Linked DNA regions of Schizosaccharomyces pombe. The protein of the gene in region 1 purifies or fractionates together with the protein of each later gene. This does not show direct contact. Each region holds a gene or a part of one and is shown in the gene's direction. Other genes may lie near its edges.

Evidence for each region.
Region 2: the proteins of mis20 (region 1) and mis19 purify together in Schizosaccharomyces pombe (affinity purification with mass spectrometry; 2 studies listed by BioGRID). This does not show direct contact.

What each region holds. Positions count from the first base shown.
Region 1 is NC_003423.3:3,208,311-3,211,964, forward strand, and holds mis20 (protein Mis20), read left to right. Parts: upstream 1-1,575; 5' UTR 1,576-1,711; coding exon 1,712-2,473; 3' UTR 2,474-2,853; downstream 2,854-3,654. Other genes in the region: kgd2 (dihydrolipoyllysine-residue succinyltransferase), read right to left, coding at 149-269; rRNA processing protein Rrp7, read left to right, coding at 3,043-3,391, 3,440-3,654.
Region 2 is NC_003423.3:1,321,542-1,325,024, forward strand, and holds mis19 (protein Mis19), read left to right. Parts: upstream 1-2,189; coding exon 2,190-2,528; 3' UTR 2,529-2,833; downstream 2,834-3,483. Other genes in the region: double-strand siRNA ribonuclease Eri1, read left to right, coding at 1-292; ERMES complex subunit Mmm1, read right to left, coding at 411-501, 546-754, 918-1,559; C-5 sterol desaturase Erg32, read right to left, coding at 2,934-3,483. UniProt on the Schizosaccharomyces pombe protein: Component of the CENP-A recruiting complex that ensures the integrity of mitotic spindles through maintenance of kinetochore factors mis6/CENP-I and cnp1/CENP-A.

The sequences.
Region 1 (3,654 bases):
TGAAATCAACAGCGTCCACTTGATTCAAAATAAAGTTTAAGACAGATGCACTTAGCAAAAGTTGATTCTTATGAGCAAGTTGAGTACTAACATATATATCCCGTCTCCTTTAACAAACAATATCTACATCATGATCAACAACACATACCATAACGGGCCCAAAGGACGTTGGCCATGGATTTAGACACTGGAGCAGTGACTGAATATCCTGAACGTAGAGATAAAAGACATTTCGCCATCATGCGAAAGCCATTGCCGTAAGAAGTCATTATGATGGTTTTTCCGTAACAAGTAATTTACTTCAATCTTGAATAAAGACAGCACAAGAAAAAACAAGAAGAATGTACGAAAGCCAAATCAACTAACAGTGGCTTGCTTATTTTGTATTATTGCTAGAGGGGGTTGTTGTATGTGGTAGAAGGTAAATATGCTACACCCTTATAAACACTGTAATATATTATATGGAGTATGAGTGCACGGTAGTGCTTTGAACCTGTAGAATCCTATTCGGTGTGTGAAACCAGTATGACCTATGGTAGGCCATTTATAAAACCTTATTAGGAAATGTAGCTGGGGGTAGTAAAGAGATTTGATGAGAGTCACTGTATTTCGTTAAACATTGTTTAGAAAGGATTTGGAATAATAAAGGTTTGCTACAATACACTAAATTGTAATAGTGTGATGTAAAGACAGCAAAAATGATAAACTATTAAGGATCAATATATGAAGTTGTTTTAAAGTTGAATTCAAAAAAATATTTATCAATTTCGGTTTTCTCCTTTTTTTACATTGACATTTTGCAGATATCCAAAAGAATAAAAATAGTATTGAAAGGTGTGGGACTCGAACCCACGAGCTTTCGCACTAGTGCCTTAAACTAGCTCCATAACCACTCGGACAACCTTCCTAGTTGTACGGTTCTATCCATAGACGAATATATACAGTAAAAATAAAAAATATTTGAGCTGTTATTCATACGAATGAATTATTATTATGAATTAATACCTCATATATACATTTGATATTGAACATTGTAATTAGTTTCAAAGGCATATGACTTTTTGGGTCACTGCCGGAACAATATCAGTCGTAAGGAAATGCATTGCTTGCCCGCACACGAGCATTAATGAATGTTTCCGCTAATTTGCAAGATATTCGCTCTGAACTTACAGAATGAATAAGTATGGTTTAGAATTAGAAATCACATTGGTTTCGCAGCTTGAGAGAAATGTTTGTTTTACATTGTAAATAGTAAGCTTATTTGTCGCGCGTTTATTGGTATTGCTATTTCTATATATAGAAAAAAAAAACATTTTCCTAATACTTCATCTCATCTAGCTCTAATATATCGAAAATTCCTAGAAACCCTTTTTTTGCGATCAAAACATTCAATTAAGCTACATAAGTTGTATTCTACAAAATGTCAGCGGTTCGCTGTATCAAATAAATAGTATATATAAACTCTATACCTCTTTTGTCTTTATCATCCCTTTAATCAATTCCTAGGTTTTTCATTGAAGACATTTTTTGCAAGCACCTACAGTATATATATCGTTGATTTTATTTACCTTCTTCACTAACCAATTTTCTTGAGCCTTAACACCTAAATGAAGCAATTATTGAAAAGTTGGATTTATCCAAATCTCAAAACTTTGTTAAACTTCATTTTAACCTAAAGTCATATCTTTAAAAAGATAAATCGCATGGCAAAATGTTGGAACAAAGTGAATCGCACGCGTTCATAAATAATGCACCAAAAGAAGATCGAATCCAAGTGAAATTTGAACAATTATTTGAATCTCTTCCTTTGCCATTGCGAGCTGAAGAAGCATTGAGTAAACTAAGACATGATTCTGCAAGATTGATGATATTAAAAACTTCAGATCCTACGTTAAATATGTCGACTTATAGTATAGAGGATTCTCCGATGGGCTTTGAATGCTTAAAATATAATTTAAGTGACAATAATAAATTACTTTCACAAAATAATTACCGATTACCAGACTATTTAGAAGAGGATGAAATAGTCAGCTATACTTTTTCAAAAACCGGTCCCACTACTTCAAAAAACAAGCATCCATCACATTCTAATACAATTAGATCACCTCCTTACAAAGTGAAAAAAGAATCATGTCATACAGAAATCAACAACGTGTCTAATGTTTCTACGGAAAGTATCAACGTTATTGATGCATCGAGGGGTTACTCGCCTTACACATCAGTGGATTCTCTTTCTGTGAGTAAAAACCGTTCTTTCATATCTCTTGAAGAATCAGCAAGTAACCAATATGATGCTGCAGAAGCTTTTTATTTTAATGCAGACTCATCCTCACCGTTGAGAAAACTTAGCCCTATAGAGCTTCCTGTGACTCCAATAAGACGCAAAACCCCTACAATTAACCCAAACTCAGAACTTAAAAGACTTCAAACTTTTGGAAAACTGATTTTGCATAAGGGAAGTCGTAGAAGGTAGTGAGTCCAATCGAACAAGAAGTATACAATAACGTTTCTTTGTTATTACGAAAAATTTTGAATGACCATTTTATAATGCAAAAAGTTACCTTAAGCGTGTGCAGTAATTTATTCAAATATCAATAATCCTTTTAAATGACTATACCGAGCACTATACTTTGTATGAGTAGGCTATAAGGATCTTTTTTAAAAACGTTTATCTTGGTTAGGAACACTAAATGCAATTAGCAACCACGCATATCAATATAGCTGTATTTTTTTATTAATTTACAATCCAACACCTCTAGCTCCCAATTCAATTATTACATTGCTTTTTGGAGCTTTTATTTAGCAGCAAATAAATTACAAGTTGTATAATTACATTTTTTTTTTAATCCTAGAAAATAAGCAAATCTTAGTTTAATTTTCGCTTATTCTAACATTCTTAATGTATATTGTATATAATAATAATTATAGTCACAACGAGATGAAGTATGCGAAGGTATAAGAGTATACAGCTCCTATGGTCTTGCCCTCGGTCAAGCTCAGTAACAAATTGCATTTTACCCAAGAACCAAACAACTCATATAAATGGACAAGCTCAAAGAAAAAGGGTTTGTTAAACTAGAAATTTATTTGGAAAATAAAAAGAGGTTGCATAGTATATTTTTGAAAGAAGACACGGAAGATGTTGAAAAGAAGTCACTGTATTTGATTAATGTTCCTATCACAACTACTGAAAAGATTTTGAAAAGAGCAATTTCTCAATTGGGCGGTCGTATCGTTAATATCTATCCTAATATTAGTGGCCTTTTGAAAAGTGGCACCCATTTACGCGTCAAATTAGTCGAGCCCGCTGAAGTTAAACAAGTTATCAAGGCAGCTTCTAAAAAGACGACCTCGCTTCCTTGGAAGTTCACACAGCATACTGGTTTGAAACGTAAGAACATGGTCATTATTTTTTTGGAAATACTAATGTGTTTAATAGGTTATGTAGAAAGTTATGATAGACAGTTTGTCAATCCACGTGTTCTAGCCGAAAGTGTTGATTCATACATGAAACGTGTTACTAAAAAGGAAATAGCAGAAAAGAGGAGACTATTCGCTATGAAAAATCAACCTGATGAAGATGGATTCGTAACGGTCGTTCGCAGCGGCCGGGCACCTGTCGGGCGACCTCAGGATGCTGAGCGTCAATTGGAA
Region 2 (3,483 bases), 1.9 Mb from region 1:
TGATAAAATGCCAATTCCTGACTGGATCAAAGGACCATTCGTAGATATTAGGTCTTTCTATAAAGACGTTTATCGCGTTCCACGCACAAATATTAATGGAATGCTAGAGCATTGGGGTCTTCAGTTTGAGGGAAGCGAGCATCGCGGAATAGATGATGCGAGGAATTTATCACGAATTGTTAAAAAAATGTGTTCGGAAAACGTAGAATTCGAATGCAATAGGTGGTGGATGGAATATGAGAAGAACGGCTGGATTCCGAATCGAAGTTACCCGCCATATTTCGCAAGCTAATGCTTAAAATTTTTATTTCGACTTCATAATCAATATATTTCGTGGAATCTGGTAGAGATAAATTATCGTTAAAATTCATAGATAAAAAAAATTTCCGAAAATTACGTCAAAAGAATGTTTAATCTTCATTAGATGACTCCTCTTGAGGTGCATGGGACCTCGCATGTCCTTCTTTTGCAGAGGTTGGCCATAGGTTGGGAATTGCGATCCTGTGGGAATTAGTTAGTATGAATCAATTCATACTCTCACTTACTGTTGAAACTGAGGAGAAACACAACGATTAGTAAACCATTGTCGAATCCTTGATTCGATCAATTGTGTAATTTTAGGAATGTCTTGAAGCTTTGACCTAGCTCCCACAAGAGAACTTACTTGTAGCGAGATCACGAAATTGGGGTCAAATGACAAGTTCATATATGCAGGCTGGCCTGCACCATTGCTTGGGGAAAAATAAATCATAATCTAGGACAAATGTTAGAAAAGACCGTTATTAAAAGACGAAAAAAAATAGTCTATCGTAGAATACCACTGTGATACGATTTAACACTTGATGTTTCAAACCCCCGGGGGAGGGGTGTAAAGAATCGTAGAGACTATATACTATTAAGGTTGTAAATAGACTTACCTTTCCGACAAATTTACAAATCCTAACTGTAATGGACAATGGTAAGGTTGCAAACGCAGGCTTTGGAAAATTAAGTAAAAGCTTTGTGTCAACGGTGCAATTAATATTGTCAGTCAGAGAAACAAGCATCTCCGCTCGAAGCTGTGAGGAATTATGCTGATGAGGTAGAACCCGACAATGACTGAAAACCGGAAATCCGTCTCCAAGCGATAAATCTCGCACGTAAATATGATCAACCATAGACTTGTCTTGAGCACCTTTGTTGAGAACAGTTTCAAGTTTTCTCAGGGCAACATCGTTGGAACATGCATCATAGCGAAACTGTATGAGAGCTTGTGCTATTAGTACATTAAACCAATCCAATGATTCCGGCTCATGTTCATTAACATCGTAAAGCAGATTGAGTATATGAGGTTCAAGGATAGTAAGAGGCTTTTTGTACCTTTTTTTGTTATTACTTAAAGGAGTTGAAGGAGTCTCGTCAGGTGTTTCATTCCCCGTTTGTTTTGGAGAGTTTGCTACAGACTTTGGAATTGGACTACAAAATAAAAAGAACCGCAAAAACACATAAATAATGGCCAGTGTCAACAATTGTCCAACTATTAGTCCTTGTGTAAAACTCCCCTGCGGCAGGTGTATCATTTTTGTTCATAAATATACTAAAATACCTCGAATTCGCTAATCCCGAGAATCAAAACCGTAAACGGAAAAATTAGTCTTCGCTCTACAAGAAGAGTATAAATTAAACGTCTCAAATACAAGAGTTAACTGCTTAGTAAGTTGAGGCTTTCTGTAATATATATATATATTTTTTTTTTTTCTTTCTTGTAGGTGGTCTACGTAGCATTTGCAATTACAGAGTTCATTGAGCCTATTTGTTTGAGTCCAAAACCGAAATCAACTAATTAAACTAATGGACTTCAATTAAAAAAGATTATTAGTAAATTCATTAAATAACATGATTTGTTTGAGAAAAGCAACTAATTATATCAAATTATTGACTTTAGATATATAAATCCTTTATGATAATATATATTACATTATGAAATTATAAGAGAATATTACTTTCTTGTACTCTTCACATGTGTATGGCATGCTCATACTCAAGGGTAGGAAATACACTAGTACGCGTTTTACTCTTCCAAAAGGAGTATTAGTTAAAGTATCTTTAATAAACGACAATAATTAGTTATTCTTTCTTTCGTATATTAACGGACTACCTAATTTTCGAAAGTTTCTCCGTCTGTGATATTTTATTAAAATGTTAAGCAAATGGATTTAATGCCGTTAGAAAAAGCAAGAGCAATTGAGATTGCATTTGATAATGTGTTTCATAATACAAAAATTCCGGACAATTTGCAGCAATTTGACGCCATATTGAAACGACTGGAAAGACGGAGATTTATACCAACGGAAAATCAGAAACCAAGAGTGTACGAAACAGAGCTACTTGTACTGCGATTTCGCGAATTTGGGGTGAAAGACAACCATAATCATCCAATAAATCTTCATTCTCTTCGGTCAAAAAGCTTAATCAGGGCACAAGGTAAAAAACTTGATTTACATAATCGAGTATTTCTAAGAAGAAATGTTAGAGCAGTAAAAATGTGATTAGTACCTTTTATACGATAATTTTGATGCATTAGTAACTTACCCAATGTGAACTTTACTGAACTTTATACACAACTTACTACAGAAAAGACTCAATCACTACATGTTACGCATATTTTTAAAGCGTTAATTTTCTATCAAAAACAAAACTGTAAGCGTTCATAACTTCTTTTCAACCCAAATTCACGTTTACATGAATTAAAGTCATAATTCAGCAATATTTTCCATTTTAGCAAAAAAAATCGATATGAGTAGCTTTAACAACACGGTGAAAAAATACCAAAAATAATAATTCTATATAAATCAAATCAAAAGCGGTTTTATTTCAGCTTCTCTCTCAAAAGACAAGCTAGAACATAAAACAAAAGAGAGGGGAGTGTATCAAATAATAAATCTTAAAGTGAATTAGTTATCCTTCTTGCTGGCATAAGTGCGATCATCTTTACCCTCAACGGTGTATTGAACTGTCTCCATAAAGCGAATGCGCTGCTCTTGCAATTTCTCATTGCGAAGTTCGGCGTCAAATAATTCTTGGTCTGGTTGACGATATGAACTGCAAAGACGATCAAACAAGGTGAAAAACTGACCATAATTGTAATTAAAGTACATATGGTGAGCAGCGTGATGAGCAGCACCATTTACGACAGCGTTGTTAGAAAAGTATTTGCCGTCGTGGATGAGTACGGTCCAATAATTTACTGATCCAAAAAGCAATAAGTAAACATACTTATTTAAGGGAAAGAAAAAGGGAAACATATGATATGGAAGGGATTGACTGTATCCATCAAGATAATGAAAAGCGTGAGAAGAGTAAGGAGTTGGAACAATCCATTTGTGATGAAGCTTATGCAAAGGAGCGTAAAGCCAACGATGATGCAAAGCGCGGTGAATCCAGTAAATCAAAAAATCAGAAAATAGAAGGAAAAGCGCGATGGAAAAGAAAAGATAAAAGTAA